Drosophila melanogaster: one gene and its partners. The protein of the gene in region 1 interacts with the protein of each later gene in a pairwise test. Each region holds a gene or a part of one and is shown on either strand. Other genes may lie near its edges.

The links. Proteins that work in one complex are often made in the same cells at the same time.
Region 2: the proteins of cad (region 1) and GATAe interact in a two-hybrid assay, tested with the Drosophila melanogaster proteins (one large-scale study listed by BioGRID).
Region 3: the proteins of cad (region 1) and CG14764 interact in a two-hybrid assay, tested with the Drosophila melanogaster proteins (one large-scale study listed by BioGRID).

What each region holds. Positions count from the first base shown.
Region 1 is NT_033779.5:20,769,097-20,773,751, reverse strand, and holds the start of cad (caudal), read right to left. Parts: upstream 3,022-4,655; 5' UTR 2,645-3,021; coding exon 1,843-2,644; intron 1-1,842. UniProt on the Drosophila melanogaster protein: Caudal (cad) is one of a number of transcription factors controlling segmentation of the embryo.
Region 2 is NT_033777.3:16,010,297-16,018,298, forward strand, and holds the start of GATAe (GATAe), read left to right. Parts: upstream 1-1,977; 5' UTR 1,978-2,442; coding exon 2,443-2,487; intron 2,488-5,931; coding exon 5,932-6,269; intron 6,270-6,412; coding exon 6,413-7,346; intron 7,347-7,414; coding exon 7,415-7,910; intron 7,911-7,968; coding exon 7,969-8,002.
Region 3 is NT_033778.4:7,952,858-7,957,683, forward strand, and holds the start of CG14764 (uncharacterized protein), read right to left. Parts: upstream 3,026-4,826; 5' UTR 2,456-3,025; intron 1,621-2,455; exon of another isoform or gene 1,521-1,620; intron 1,455-1,520; 5' UTR 1,189-1,454; coding exon 1,045-1,188; intron 1-1,044. Other genes in the region: CG2906 (uncharacterized protein), read left to right, coding at 3,352-3,432, 3,779-3,979, 4,041-4,826.

The sequences.
Region 1 (4,655 bases):
CGCAGCCCCATGGGTTGGGTGGGGTTTTCAGGACTTATTGACAGGGCGGGCGTTTATTTGATTCCCCACGCTAGCTAATCTAATCGAAAAACCCGCCCGAACCACCAGCCATTGAAACAAAAGTACACGGCATCTGCATCCAGCGACAATCGTGGTTGCCGTTTTATTGCCACACCCCGAAAGCTGAAGTGGGCCTTCGACGTGCCCTGCCGCCACATGCCGCCACATGCCGCGCAGACAACGGAAAATGGACCTTTTATAATTCTATCAAAAATCACGAAGTGTTAGTCACAGCCCCCCTCTTCTCTTCTGTTGGAAAAGGCAGATTACTAATTATTACTCGATTTGGCGAGACCATCAATTCAAAGAAAATGCCAGAGAGATAATACCTGAGCAAAGTGTTGGCAAAAGGTGCTGCTGATCGCTCATAGTGGCTGTAAATAATATCTAACTTTATTTTTATATAATATTTATTCTTACTTAAATATTTGTGCTTTTTAGGCAAATGAAATACGGCAAGAATTACAATCAGTCGCGCGTCAGAAAGGTGACATTCAGACAGCGGAGGCTAAAGGGGGTTTTGAATAATAATAAATAAGGCAAACTTGAGTCGCCTTGTCGGCTTGATCAGCTGGATTAGCGGCCATAAACGCTAATTGCATGCCAACAGATTTTATGGGCTTAATGGATATCGGCGTTATTGTCGATATCGTCGATATCGTCGTCTTCATTTTCCCCTTCTTGACATGCGCCCGGGTCATAAATCGTGAACAAATGTGTGAGTGGTTTATTCCTTCTCATGTTTGAGATCGCTGCACTGCCATCTGAATTGCCTTTGCTTGTTTTTCCAGAGGTGTAGGAAAACACAGCAAACAAAACGCAAGAAATCCACATAATCACAGAAAATTTGCATGAACTGAGAGAAGAGAGTCGAATTGGGTATTATTCACTTATTATTCAGAATATTCACTATTTTTAGAAAATAGTGAAACCTTCAATTAGACACTCCACATAATGCTAATTGCTGTGAAATAGGTTCCGAACTCCCTAACTTTCCTAAGCCTTTACAGTCCAGTCCTCTACTCTGATGGACTTTCCATCAAATGCTGTCTGGTTATTGGTAAGTTGATCAAACCATTTTCAAATGCTTATAGTTGTTAAGTTGATTTACGATACAAAATTAGTCAATGGAATCGGAATCGAGACGGAGACAGAGTGGAGCAAACAAACAGAAACACTCATGTGGACGGTGAACACGGGGTGGCCATAAATCAAGGCGTCGGATCGGGGATCTCGCGACCCCAACTGAATATCATAAAAGTGAAGCTTGAACAGAATTTGATTTTTATGAGCTAATTGGCCATTTGGACTTGGATGCGCGCCAGGCAAACGGATTCTTATAAAAGCCCATATATGTACCGTGAGAGATGGACAGGGAAAAGCGCGAACAGCACGAGCTTGGCGGGAAGACAATGCAGTGCATTATGTGCTGGGCAATATGGAATCTTCGGGTTCGGAATGTAGCCAGGCGGATGCGGGAGAAACCCAAGCGCAGGGTACGCGGAATCGAAGGTCAGTGGAATGACTAAGTAGCTGAATACACAAAAATTCGGGTAATCGAGGTCTTTCGGACTAAAAGCCTTCGGTGAGTAAGATCTTATTTCACATTCGATTAAAAAAAAAAAACTCATACAAGCTAGTGACAATGGCAAGCATAGACCTTAACTTTGCAGTAAAAGCAGGTTATTAGCCTTACTCATAAAGTTATGAAGTAACCGATCATACCCCCTCATAAAACACTAAATCTGTATTTAATATATTCTTGGGTCTCTAAGGACTCACCTGGTTGTGGTTGTGCTGGATAGGCGGGCTTCTTCATCCAGTCGAAGTATGGCGGCTTCGATGGCGATGTCCTGTTGTTGTTGCTCACCGAATTGTTATTGTTGTTGTTGTTATGGGTGGATGGGCTATTGTTGTTGTTGTTGTTGTTGTTGTTGTTGTTGGCGACGGCACTCAAATGGTGTGCCAAGTGATGATGCGGCGACGAGGCAGAAGTCGGCGCCCCCGGGCTAGAGATTTCCGAGCCCGAAACGGTAATCGGTGGCGACGGCAGACCTTCGGCGATGTGCTGCTGATGGTTGGGTGGTGCGGAACCTGGTCCTCCATCGGTGGCCCCGCCAACACCACCGCCACCGCCTGCTCCTCCGACGCCGATGCTGCTGTTGGTCTCGTTGAGCTGGGGCGCACCCGGTGCACCACCGCTACTGCTGCTCCCGGAACTGGCGGAACTGCTGGAGGCATGGGCGTGATGATGGTGGTGCTGCTGCATCAGCTGGTGGGCCGACGTGGGCACATTCTGAACGAAGTTATCCGCCGTGCTCGAGGCGGGTGAGTGCCACTCCCCGGCAGAGGCCGCCGCCGCCGAGTGGAACATGTGATGGGAGTTGTAGTACATCTGGTGGGCAGCGGCCGCGTGGTGGGCGGCATGCGAGGAGTCCACATCGCCCAGGAACTGGTGGTTCGGCGGCGTGTGGTGGTAGTTGGGCGTCCAGTTCCATGGCTGGCCCGCCGCTGAGGCATAGGCCAAATTGGCGGCACTGTGCTTTTGTGTGTAGGGCAGTGTGTTGTAGTAGTGCGAAACCATTTTGAGGTTAGATTAGGTGCGCTTTCTCCGAAGATAGTCCCAGTGCTCGGTCCGGTGTCCAATAATCCGGCGTTAATCTCTAAGTCTTATCACTTTGATGGCCAATATGTTTTAGTTGCACATTTTCTGGAGTTTCAGTTTGGGTTATAATGGATATATTTTGCTTTGTCAATCTTTACAGTTATCACTGGCTGGTGATGTGTTTTTTGGGAGCACAGTAACATACGACCGAGATATCGATAATATTTCGAAACGCTATTTTTCAGCACTCACTCACGAGATGGATTTTTGTTTTGCAGGGCTAATCTACTAATTTGAAATGTTATTCCGTGCGTGGCGACGTCAACTCAGTATGCAGGTCGAACACGTACTGAAACGTAGAGCAAGACTCGACTGATAAAAAACTCAAAGCAGTGGAAAATCAGATAAACAGGCAGAGAGGCTCAAAAAAAACAACCACCGCAGTCGGCACTCACTAGTTGTCTCTTTCTAGCGCACGAGCAGTGCCTTTACTTGGGCGTTTTTAACCCTCATTTCCGTTGCTCGGTCGAAATTCAAGATGGCCTGAGTGCTTGACTACCGCTATCTCCGTCTGTCTGGTGCTCCGTCTCTTTCGCACCGGTCTGCGATGGCTGGCAGGCAGGTGGCCACGCCCCATTGAGCCAGGTATGCAGTTTGTCGTAATATCTTGGCCAAGAAAACCCCTTTTCCTTTATGGCCCGCTTTCGATTTGTATGTACTTTAATTGCAATTGCCGTTGGCTAATTAAGTAATTGCGGAGATGCGTGTGTATTATGCAATTAGTGGCTGTAAAATTATGTTGCCACGGTCGTAATAGTCGCGATATATGTACCTCTATCTGGGGAATAATCAATGTTTTATCCTCCGGATTTTATTCTCCATATCCATATACCGTGTTTGATCTGCACACACTTGATGTCCAGACTTTTGGTGTTTGCCAAGCAATCGCTGTTTATATGGGCGCCTCGATATTGTCAAAGCACTATTGTTCGGTTCTAGTTGTAAAGCTAATGCCATAATTGACATGTAAGCAGCGATAAAAATTCGCAGGGAACTCAAATATAGCGGAAGAAGTCTGGCATTGATAAGGTGCAAGATGTGATACAAGGGGCTTATGTAAAAAAAAAAGATGGTACTAAAAATGAGGTGATCTTTTGACGGATCTATCATTTAATGTAAATCGAAAGTTTCCAGCTTCATTACCAAAAATATGACTAATCAATTTAAATTCCCATGAGAACTTATTTTCGATCAAACTTCGCTGGAAGTTTAACAAATGGGTGGAATTGAAATATCGATTATTATTTCATAACGACTTTAGCAAAAGTGTTACCCATTTCGTGAAGCAAAAGGCAAAATTGGCCCAATACGGTAAAGAATTAATAATATCAATAAACCCATTTACAAAACCTCCTCACTAACATAAAAACTAATAATTGAACGCAATTTGAATAATAATAAATAAATTGATTTATTTATAATTTATGACAGACACGCGTGTGATCATAAGATTGCAAACGCGCCTAATTATTATAATATATTGGCAATATAACAAATTCCAAATATTCATATTGTGGCATTAATTATAAAACTATACATGTAATATACCCTAAGATTAGAATGTGAAATCATTGTCCAATTATTTTCAAACTATCTGACTATAATTTTTCCTTACACAAAGGAATATAATATATTCATTGGAATAAGGTATAGTTGGTTAAACATATTCCTGCCTCACAAATTCCAGGTCAGCTAACACCATTCTTATTAATTTTTCGCAAGAATTTCGATACCACACAGCTACTCCCAATTGTAATCCCTAAAAAGAACGCTAAGCTCGCGCCGATTGAGTAATCCCGAGATTCCAGAAATCCTCTCTAAATCTGTAAAAAATAAATTCATTGATTGCCGCGATGTTCGATGCTCGGTATGGGATCGTAAAACTGCAAACTGCAAATGTCGCGTCAAATAATTAGAAGTGAATGCAGCT
Region 2 (8,002 bases), on another chromosome or scaffold:
AGGAAAGCTAGAAAAATAATACAATTATAACCAAAACAAGAGCGCAATAAAGAATATATAAAAATTAAATTCCATAGCGTCATTCCAGACAAAGATCGGCGATACTGTCAACTGGCCGAGAACACTTGAGGCTAGATAACTTTTAGGCTATGGTTTCTTAAGGTTTTGGTTCGCTTCTATGGTCTTTCACGGACATAGCACTTGAAACTCCATGGAGGTGGACAAGTTGAAGGGTGTACGATTCCGGGTGTACACGATATGCCATGGTCAGCAATCTTAAGACTCTGTCTGTTTCGCCGCCCCTAAGTCTTCCGTCTTAGGGTCGTAAATTCGCCGGCAAAGCACCTAAAGCTAGGCGCGGCGGTGCCATCAATTAGGGTATTAATTGCCCGGCTCTGCCGTGGCAAGAGAGCCACCTCGATGAGTCAGTCCTGTGGCCGGGTATCCAGTTTGGAGTCCTCCTCCTCAGCATTAATCTCCTGTAATGTTGATTTCGTGTAGCGCCATTTGTAACGATCGAAACTGGCATAGCCGTCAACTTTTTGAGTGATTAATCACCGCACAGATATTTCGCGACACGCAGCAGTAGCTACTATTAGATACTTTTTGTCTGCCGGTTTTGCTCTTAAGATTTGCCCATGATTTATGCACCGCATGCGTTGCAACAATTAAAATTATCGCCTCAACTCGATTTCCATTCATGGGAGCAGCGGAAAGTTGCCCGTAATTGTGGCATTATAAGCAACTCCGAGGGGATTGTGCATGTTAATGGCCGTCATATATCTGCTTGCTTTATGACTTTAACTATAAACAATTTATGATTCGCTGGGCCAACTTGGCTGGGTGGCCAAGATATGTGGCTAACTTACAGATTGCAGCTCTTCGAAGAAAAGAAAGCAAGGAGTTGGTACGGATTGCCATAGGGGCTTAGCATTAAGCATATAAGCCTAGATTGAATTTTTTAGAATTTAAGTCATGGTTTTCATATACATTTTATTATAAAATGTACTATTTAGCTACTACATCCCTATATATAGTAAAGATATGTTTACAATATTTATCTACACATACATCTCTGCTTACAAAGTATCTGTAATTGACAGGTTGAAAAATATATCAGATTTCTGACCAAGCACTCCAATCACCCAACCACTTCAAACTCAATCTTTTCCTGGCTGGTGACAATTCAGGGGTTTTGCAATATATGCGCCGCACCTGATCCTCGACCACGTGTGCTCCTGCCCTCCACCTCCGCCTCCTCCGGCGGTGTTTATTAGTTACAACACTCGAGAGTGGATTGTGAAGTGTGGAGAACTAGAAGAACTGGAGAAGTGGAAGTGGAGCGCAACAACCGAGCAGTCGAGCTGTCAAAGCGGCCCACATTCGGGCGACTGTTCGTGGGGTCATATAAAGTTTCCGTGCCCATGCCCATGCCCAGTCCCACTTTCCAGGCCCAAGCCCGATCCGATGATATTCTGTTGACGTTGACTAACGTTGCTCGAGTTTATTAGTTTGCCAGAAAAGTGTTTTATGAGTGCAATTAGAAAATGCGCTAGACTAAATTGCACAATTGACAAATAGCAGGGGGCGAGGGTGAGGAGCGCTGAAGGGTGGAAATGGAATCAAATGTGGTGCTGGCTGAACTGTGCCGGCTGGTGGGCCTCTTGACGCCACTCTTCGGAAACCTCGGAACATTGGTGTAACATAGGTGTGTTGGAAAATCGGCCGAGCGCGCAGGCGCAATTTGTATCTCACGGATACTTATCGCAACCGTGGCACCAACACTCGTTGCGTATCTTATCGCATGTGTGTCGATAAGATAACCAATACCAGGCGAGGCGGTACAGAATAAATCATAACGCTGCCACACCGACAGGACCACGCACCCACACAGGTGTGAGGCCGCCCAACCGCAGAGGCGCTGGATCTTCATCGGTGTGGGTAGCTAATTGGGCGGCAAACGCGCCGCAGGCACCGCATTGCGTCGCCGTCGTTGTTGTCATCGCAAGTGAGGTGCTTGGTGCTCAGAGTGCTCAGTGTTTAGTGTATCGAGCCCATAGACCGGAGACCAGTGCCACCACCAGAGCCCAGTTGGTCTCGAAAAAATAGCACTTCGTATCACTGCTAACTGGCAAAGGTTGCGCGCGGGCCACAACCACAATCGCCCCACGGGTGACAGCATTAGATCGCCCCCAAAGCTCCAAAGTTCCTACTTTCCCAAGTTACCAATTTTCGTCAATTTTCGCCAATTTTCCCCACTTGCTCACTTTGCGCGGCACTTTTTCGGGCGCCCAGATTGATAGGAGAAGTGAACCAAACACCTGGACAAGCCGTGCTTGTGATAAATTTTTGAAAACACAACAGAACTGAAATCAAGTGATAAAAACCAATCTTAGATAAAACGCTGGAAGAAACGCAAAGAAGCGGCGTAACTTCAATTTGATGGTCTGCAAAACTATCTCACCGAGTGTAAACATGCAGCTGAAGGTGGGTAAAATAAACTTATAATTATTCAAAAATAGTCAGCGTAATTTTTGGGTATTATATATTAAGTTTGCCAAGTCGGTATTTTCTTTTCAAAACCAATTCCGTTTAAAATCCATATCGGAATGGAGAATATCAACCTGACCGCTTAAAGCAACTATACGTGAACTCTATTAAAAACATTTAAATACCTTTTTGATGCTCATTTACGAGATCTCTATAAGCCTATCTATCATTTCTACTTTGTTGAAAGATCATAAAAGTTTTTAACGTTTTCTCACACAAGTTCATTAAGCTAAATAGACAGGCCATATAGGGTCATTAAAAGCAGATAGTTCAAGTTTATAGATCAGTCGCAAGGCACGAATAAATATTAATTTATTAATTAACGGAGTATAAAGAGCTTTCAAAGGTATTTACAGCTCGAATAGCCATATAGATTTTACATCCTTCGGTGTACCGAGCCAGAAAATGATTTTAGCCCGCAAACGGCAGCGATATGGATTTTTTTCAGTTCTAGCGCCAGGGAAATAAGATAAGACAAATTGATTTATAATGAATGAGTCATCTGGGATGCAGCGGCAAACTGCGACACTTATTTTGGTGTCTGCTCTTGGAAGAAAAACCGAACCGAAACGAACCGAAACCATTAAGAAAACGAGAATGGGTACGAAAACGGGGCAACAAGAAAGCAAGTTAAATGTGGAAAGATGGCTAATCTTTATGAGGTCCAAATTCAGCTGCGATCGAAGGTGGCGTCAAAATACCTTTGACAAAAATAAAATTTGAAACACGCAGCCGACTTTCAACTGCTCGCTCCTCTTCATTCATGAAAAGGGACTGTTTTTACCCATTTTTTGCTGGCCACGGATAATGTGAAATTTATGTCAATCTTATCACCTCGCTTTGGTCCTGCTCCTTATCCCTGTCTCTAGCGTATCCTTCATGGGCTTGGGGTTGGTTTTGTGAATGAATGCCAACCCTTGGCTCATCTGGGGGTACTTTTTATCCTGCCGGAAGTGTCCTTTCGACCAATGGAAGAACAGTCCCTTAACAGTTGCTCAATGGCGGCATCGATAGTTGCAGTTCCAGTTGCAGATACTTTTATTAGACACGCGTCGCCAGTTGACAGTGGATGATGGCTGATAGGAGAGAGGGCGAAGGTTGCGATTGATGGCCCTTTAATAGAGCTGTAAATGCAGCTGGCAGTCGAGAGTCTTATCTCACTTTCATTAGCCAACTGCAGTGAAGTTTAATTAATCGAAGGATCTTCTAACGAGGGCAGATATAAAGGGTATAAATGTATATCCAAAAATGGGTACATTTATTTACTTCCCATTCTTTTGTTAATTATATAGATATTTTGAAAGTGCTCTCACATCTTTAGCCTTTAAGCAGTCTTACCCAAGAAATTGTTCATATTTTTTTATAAGTCTAAAATAAAAAGTAAAACTGGCAAAGAATTTCCTCGAGAAATTTAGAATTTTAACAAAAATAGCATTCATCACAACTGCATTATATTCAAGTTTTATAGTTCTATTCAGTTCTAAATGCCTTAAAATGTTTGGTCAGAGCTGCCTTTGAAATTTGCTCAACCACGAACCCAAGCTCAACGAAAGCGAAACGAGGTGCGATTATATAGTCAATATCTTTTGTTTATATAGATAAAGTACGAAATGTACGTGTGTGTGTGTGTGTGTATGGTTGTGGGTGTGACTGGGCAGATTTCATTCATAAGTTCAGCGGACTCCACACCCTCGCAACGATTCTTGACTAAGCCGAGCAAATAGCGCATGCCATTGCCATTCTCGGGTGACAAACATCGCTTGCACAACTTTTGTAATTCTTGGATATATCTGTCCCTATTGATGACGTAGCCGCAACTGAGAGTGGGTGCGGGCAGTTGGGGGATACCAACCATGACCTCTCAGTCCCAGCAGCAGCAGCAGCAGCTGATTATGTACATTGATAGCGCCCGGATAAGATATTGTCCGTATCGTTCGGCCGTAGTATCTTAACTTTTTCGCGGTACATGGCACGTGCATGGGGGCCTACCTATCGTACTACTACTATATACACACACTCAAAGTCGGGTTTATCTGCATTTCGGGCAGACGATTGTCTGAAGTGACGTTTGCACCACATTATCTCGCACCCTTTCCATCCAGGGAATTCTTTGAACTTTGGCCAAGACGTTGAAAACTTGGCACGGTCATCACCGCCGGCGGAATGCAATCAGTTTCCATGGAACTCTTTCGTCCCCCATTTATATGCCTTCCACATAAGTAATTAAACTTTGTACCTTGGTAAGCGTTAGATTTTTCATTTTTACGGCTTGTCACCAACTGAATCATCATTGAACTTGGCTTGTGTCCACGCAAAAAATGTATCAATCATTTGTGGCACGTCAACCTAAAGTTCTGCGAAAGTGAATCAATTTTCATTAAATGGAAGATAAAGTATTAGTTTTTTCATATAAAGGGAGAGTGGGGATTTTTATGGAATGTATTAAATCAATTCAGCGTGGTGATTATTTTCGGAAAAAAAAAACACCTGTACAAGTATATGGTTATATCTCAGTTAAAAGCAATTATCTTTGCAATATATTTCAATGGCCACAAAAATTTTCCTTTAGTGTTGCTGTGGATTTCCTCAATTGACGGTGGTGATGGTTACACATAAGCACACACATTTTTTGGTATATTTATAGCCATGGTAAAGGTGGAAACCACCTGAAAGCCTCTGAGCTATATGGCACTTGTCATGAGCGGACTGGCGGTAAATTTCAACCTGGCCGCATCGTGAATCAGGTGACAGTGACGATCGAATGTGTTGACACAAGCTCGAGGATGGGAATGGGGATGGGGATGGGTATGGGGCTTTGGAGTGGAAGTGGAAGTGCCACCCCCAACGGAATGAGGTCATAAACCCAAAAGCGACTGACGTATGGCGGGGAAAGCAAAGCGATTTTATGGCCAAGTTTAATTTCCGCCAAAAGCCAAACTAAACCAAAAAAAAAAAAAAAAAAAACCACGAATACACAAGAAAAATGAAAACGAAACCAAGGCACCGCTCTGAGTTTAGGGTTCTGTGAGCAAATACTTCTGCTGGTGGAAATGAAATGGAATAAAAGTGAAAAATGTGTTCGACAATGTTGACACTGAGCAACTGAGTGGTAGAAAGGAGAGGGGTCGCCTCCAAGCCCGTCTCCGTTCGGCTCAGTTTCTGGTACTTTACGGTTGTAGGCGACAAATTGAGCTGTGAGTCGAGCGCGGGCGGTGTCTTTGAAGTCCGTCTCAGCGGTCTTGGTTGGGCTTGCGTCTTGTTGACTTTTGTGGCGGAAACCGAGGCGGGCAGTTCGCACTGCAACGGCCGGAACTGGAGCCACACTTTTGAGACGAGCCGGGCGAAACATGGCATTCAACACTTGTCGCTTGCTCATTGCAGATGGAACAGCAGACAACGCAGCAGCAGCAGCAGCAACAGCAACAGCAACAGCAACAGCAACAATTGCAACAGCAACAGCATCAGGCTCTAACCAAGCAGCAGCTTCAACTGCTGGACAAAATCAAACTCGAGTCCAGCAACGGCGCCGATCAGTTGGCCCAGCAGACGGCCAACAATCTGGATGAGCAGCAGGAGCAGCAGCAACAACACCAACAGCAAGCCGCAACATCGGTGGGCGTGGTGGTGCAGACGGGCCAAGCGGGCGTCAGCGAACCGGAGGAGCAGTACGTGGTGGTGCCACGCAACCAGCGCCGTATTCTCACCACAGCCGGCACACTGTAAGTAACCTCTGGAGACCTTCTTTTCCTAAGAACATAAGCATTCACAAATTTCATTTTTAAACACAATCATCTAATGCAAATGGCAATCGATAGTTACAATTTACCATTGTTATTTAACAGTGTTATTAACAACATTTCAGTGAATTAAACGAAGCTCGTGAAGGAGAACCGAGCACAAACGCCAGCAACGCGAGCTCAGGATCTGCTTCGGATAGCCACATCGAGTACCAGCGCAGTGCACACCAATCTCCCGGAGCCACTCACTACGTGCAGATGGCGCCACGCAACGCAGAGGTGACGGAACAGGTGGGAGCTGCTGCCGGAGCTCCGCCGGGCACCATCTTCGCCTATCCTATTATCTGCAACGGTGACGATGTGGCCGCGATCAAAATCGAAACACTCGAGAAGGGAGAGGCGACGGGGGAGTCGCAACAACAGCAGCAGCAACTGCAGCAACACCAGCATCAGCAGCAACAGCAATGTCCCACACCCAACGGAGCTAGCTACGGCGAGACCATAGTGATCAGCAGCGAGGCGGAGGCACTGCAGCATCACCACCAACAGCAGCAGCAGCACCAGCAGCAGCAGCATCAGCAGCAACACCACCAACACCAGGCGGCAGCTGCAGCATCGGCGGCGGCCCAGACGGTTCACATTGCCACCAGTTCGCATGGTGGAACCGTGCGCTTCGTTACGGAGGATGTACGCTTCACCACCGCCGGACCGGAGACATCCGCCTCGAATATGTACTACGATGTACCCGTGGTGGATGGCAGTGTGCATGCCAACGAGTCCAAGACCTACGCCGACCTAGGCAACGCATATGCCCCCTTCCCGCCCAGCTCCAGCTTCAGTAGCAATAGCTATGCGGCAACGCTTCAGCAGGGAAACACTATTTACAGTGTTCCGGGCACCGGTCAATTCTTGGCCAAGTCCGAGTCTGGCCTAAATCAGACTGGACTGCTGCGCCAGACTGGACCGGCTACTTTTCAGACGATATCTTTTGAGGGCGGCAACGGCATCGAGCCTTTATGGGCATCTCCCGCCCCGCCGGAGTACCAGAGTGTTCAATTTGTAAGTATAATTTAAGTTACTGGTTCTTGAGGCGGTACATACTAACTGTTCTCCCGCATGCTGCACAGAGCAACTTCCATCCGCAGGTTATTGATGAATACGGGAGCGGCAATATGAGCACCTCCCACTGGCCGCCCGCCAGCAGCATAGGGCAGTACGATGGAAGTCTGGTGACCGCCTCGTCCACATCGTCGCCCAACCACGAGCTAAAGTGCGAGAACTGCCATGGGCCGTTCTTGCGGAAGGGTAGCGAGTACTTCTGTCCCAATTGCCCGGCCTTTATGCGGATGGCGCCCCGTATAACCCAGAGGCAGGCGAAGCCCAAGGCCGCCGCCGCCCCCAACAACCGGCGCAACGGGGTCACCTGCGCCAACTGTCAGACCAACTCGACGACCCTGTGGCGTCGCAACAACGAGGGCAATCCGGTGTGCAATGCCTGCGGACTGTACTACAAGCTGCACAACATGAACCGACCGCTGTCGATGAAGAAGGAGGGCATCCAGAAGCGCAAACGGAAGCCTAAGAACAACGGAGGAGCACCCATGCACCGAGCACCGCTGCCGAGTGAGTACACCTGCCAGGGATTACAGTATGCAATAAACTAATCCCAATTCCCAACCAGGCATGTCGCAGGGAGTCAACCTGATGGCCAACAG
Region 3 (4,826 bases), on another chromosome or scaffold:
TCGTTGAGATAACAGCCAGTTGTAAACTTTGAAGCAGAGACTCGGCGTTTGGGCACTATTAAAATTGCCTTTATGAGTACGTGATGGGAAAAGAACACCTTCTTTGCGTAGCTAAACATGAAATGCATAGCGATGATTTATAACCATCTTGCTATGCAATCTATTAAGTTTTCCCTAGACGCAAGAAATCCTTCAGCGACGTGGTCTCGGAGCCGTGGTTAACCGCAGGTTACCCAATAGCTCATCGGGCTGTGCAACCGGACTCCGGCCGGAATCTAATTAGTGTAAACAGTAAACGCTCTGGCAGGCGAAACGTAAACACAGCCAGCAGTGGCCTCGAGTTTTTGTTTGCCAGAGCACGGCCAAAAGTGTTCCGAAATGAACCCGACCCTGGTCAACACCCGTCCCCTTTGCCTCTCTGCCTTCCAGACGCTTATGTGAGTGATGCTGATGACTTTCATTTGGCTGCCGGCTGTTTGATTTGGCCAAATGTGCCAGACAGCCTGGCGTATCTAGCTTTCGAACCGACCCGCCCACCCCGAAGGACGCGCATTAATTTGACCAAGAGCACAGAGTGAGCGGAAAATAAGCTACTCGAGTGGTTGTTGCCGGGGGGCGGAACGCAGTTCAAGGCCAAGTGTGATGTCAATAGCCAGACGCTGCCAAAAGCAATTGCCAGAAAAGTCCTGTCCTAGCTGTCTGTGTACATAGGCACTTGACTATCTGCTGATAGTGGAATCTACATATGAATCATGGCTGGCGTGCTTGTAAAACAATTAGATTCGCATTCATTTTTTTTCGAGCTACACCCCGGCGATAAGTTCAAGCGCTTCGAATCAAAGAAACAACAAATGACAAACGGTGCACTGGGGTTTCAGTTTTCCCGATTTATCTGTGACAGTTTCAACGCACCAGCGCCAGATACGAACAGATAATTGTTATTTAATACCCTTATCTAAGTCATTCAGCATAACTTGGGGCGCGGAGTGTTTTGTATCAGAGGCCCGCCCGGCACTCAAGACCCCCAAACGTGAGTCAACTCACCTGGAACTCTTTAAACTGCTGGTGCGTCTGGACAACGATGTTCTTGAATGAATCGTTCGGCTCTCCGGCTGGACCAAATGCGATGAAGACGATCGTGGCGATTATCACTCCGATCAGTATCAGGATCAGGTGTTTCGTGCGCATGGCCGCTAAAATTGACTTCGTCTTCGCCTTGTAGCCAATTTTGCGGGCAAAGATGCGCTTCAGCGTGAGTGAGGCCTCCAGTCTGAAGGCTTTTGGCTTTCCCTTTTAGCCGAGTGGCAATTTGGTCTATTACACAGCGTTTGGCACTAGACCATCATCGTTCGCTTCTATGACTTGCCACGCAATTAGGTTATTGAGCATTTATTTGTTTATCCCGTCATCATCATTATGGCTGCAGTTTCCCGTTGTTAACATTATTGGTTCTCCTGTTAATGAAAATTAAAACAGGCACCTTAGAATTGTTAATTTTTCGTGCGTTTGATATTGGTTACTTTAAGTAAAGTCCGTTTTCTTCATCATGCTCTCAAATTTAATTCTTTTTTGTGAGGACGTATTATCCTTCTGTATATGAGGAATTCTAATCAAAAACGTATATTATTCAAAATATTCTATACTGTCGAAGTATACTTGAAGTATACAAAGATTTATTCTGCTCGTTCCGAATAAACACTTATTTGTGAGGATTTATTATTTTTCAATATGAGGAATTTTAAACAAATATAATGTAGAAAAATTTTTTGGTTTTGTTTTTCTGAATGCTTCCTATAAACTCTTATTCTCTTATTCTCTCTGAACTCTTAAACGTCCCAAAACTTACAAAAATACTGAGTTACAGTGGATTTGGTTTGCATTGGTTGTTAATTGCAAATGGTTGGTAATTGAATACACTCCACAAAGTATGAACTTAATGCTAATTGGGTATCAAACCTGTACGAAAGTTTTACAGGTTCAATTTGATACTATGTAATTTTATCATTTATGCAAAAGTTGGGAATGACGATTCTGAACTACACTTATGTATTCGTTTTACAATATATTCTCTTTTTCGTGTAAATAAATATTGCACTTTTACTTTATATCTTGTTACAATTTCTTTTAGTGTACTTGTTCTGAAATGTAATGCACACTTGATTTCTTTATATTCTTGAAATGCGAAGAAGATGGAAAACAACGATTTTGATCTTAACGAAAACAATCAGTTTTCGGAAACCTTAGCATCCCTGATCTGGGGTACGAATAACTGCACCTGCTGACACCCCATCGGCTTGATGGGGTTAATTTCTTGGCGCAGGGCCAGAAAGCGAGATGACGAGGGCAAGGTGAGTGCAACAAAGCGATGTACGTACATATGTATGGAAGCACACGTGTACGTTCATGCAAATATTACAACGATGCGACAATGATGTGCAATGTGCGTCGGACTTACAGTTTTTAATGGGGCGCTCATCAAAGGGCAGCGGTTATTTACAGTTGCTTTTGTTGTACGCCGCGTGCAGTTGTTGTTGCTGCAGACTGGGGTGGTGACATGGAGAAATTACCGGCGCAGCCTCCATTAAACTTTTCTGATAAGCTCACTCAACGCACGCACTCATACTGATGCACATAACGACTTGTTGTTGGCCATACACTTTTACATAATTTACAGTTTCTGCGGCTTGCGGGTTCTACTTTCGGTTTTCCCTTCGTAAGGGTAAATAAGACATGATAATCATGAAGAGCGACGCGGACAACAAACAAAACACTTGAATTCGCAGTTCAAAAAAGACTTCTCGAGCGCTCGTCGTCGATAATAGGGAACTTCGTTTTCCGTATTCACCAGCTCTCTTAAGCGGACACGGTACATATGCCAGGGGCAACTAAATTTCACAGGACGAAATAATGCGGAAAAGCTAGCGAACTGCACCAGAATCGGTAACGCCGTGCGCGCTTTTAGCTCGCTGAAAGTTTTTTATGCAAATTCGTTGGTGATAGAGGTGGGAAAGCGGGCTGCAAGAACATCGATGACGGGTGAACCGCTGATTTTAATGCCAATCGAATAGTCGGGAGACTGTGAACTTATTCCGTGTTTTCAAGTTCCGCAAAATTCCAAAAAGAATTTAAAACTTGATATTTTTATATATTTATATTTTTGAATATACTGAGTTAAAATAATATCGAGGAAAAATTTATTGTTGTCAACATACCATTTTTAACTTTTGTAGTCGACTATCGAAATTGCGGACTCCGCCCATGGTTGAAAACTCGACTATGAAAAACGATGTACATACGCGTATAGGATAGTAATGTTTTGATGTACGAATATTTATTATTTCTTTGTTAAACATGTTGATTGTAAGAGAAAAACTCGAAAGAGGTTTGGAATTGTTAAAGAAATATGAATGGCTGTTGGATGCCTATGTACTGGTAAGTTAGCTTTGTTAAAATGTTAGCTTTGTTGTCTACAATATTCGTGCGGCTTAATGAAGTTATAGTGTTTCCATCCAAATTAATATTGAATATTGAGATTGCACGTTGAGTAATGCTGGAGAAGTTTTGTTGTGGGTAAACCTATTGATACACCTCCTGGTACACCTCCTGAATCTTTTTTCCATGGGCACCATATATAACCAGAATTGGGCTTCCTACTGCGACGTGTGTTCCTTGGATACCTCATGTTGATCATGTATTTTCGCCTCCTTTGCTTTGCGCCTTTTTTTTATTGCGATTTTTATTTGTAAGACTTTCATGAGTATAAAATTCTTATTTATAGGACTTCTTCATAGACGATCATTGGAGTAAACTTCCAGGGAATTGGCAAAAGCACTTAGAAAGCATTCCTCTGGAGAACCTTGGAGATTTGCTCAAAAATGAGAATCATAATACCCAGCTGACATGGCCATTGGATCTGAAGAACCTGCAAGAGGAGCTTAGGAAACTCTGCGTCAGCCGTGTACCAAAGCACCCGCCTGATGTTGGTAAAATCCCGTCAGTATTTGTATCAAAATCAGTTTAAAATATCTTTCTTCACTTAGAACTCCCTTCCTTGCTCACTTCTTGATCACCCCAAGCTAAAATACGTGTTCCTAAAGCGGGTTAAGCCAAAGAAGCACCATGAAATCATTCGAATGGCCGAAATCTGTGCCCTGAGTCAACAAAAAACTCCTGTGGACTTTATTGTCGACTTTGGGGCTGGTGTCGGTCACCTAGCACGTGTTTTGGGCTACGGGTATGGACTACGAGTGTGCTGCTATGAGATGCAACCCGATCTCAATCAGCAAGCAAGGGAAATTGATTTAAAGCTGGAGTCCATGGCAGCAAAACACCTATCAGAGGATGAAACCACACACTTTCAGCGACCAGTACACCTTACACATCGCTTGGAGAGCAGCACTAAGCCAGAGCAGTTCCTATCCAGCATTCGGCAGGCCCTGCAGCTAACAGACGACAATTTCCGATTTGGTGTGATAGGCCTGCATCCCTGTGGCAATCTGGGCCCGACACTGATGCGCATGTTTCTCGGCTGCCCGCAGGCCAAGTTCCTCAATTTTGTGGGCTGTTGCTACCAGAAGATGACTACCCAGTCCACCCATCCCAGGGAGCATGTCCATGGGTACCCGTTGAGCAGTGAACTCAAAGATAAAAACGAATGCCAACTCAGCTACGAGGCCCGTGAGATCTCCTGTCACGCTATGGAGGTGTATCACGATCGTCTGAGGATGGGGGATTACCAACATCTCCGCATACACTCCCTAAGAGCCGCCGCCGAGCGAATAATAGTGCATCAGTTTCCAGAGCTTCGCCACTGTGCCCTGCGAAAT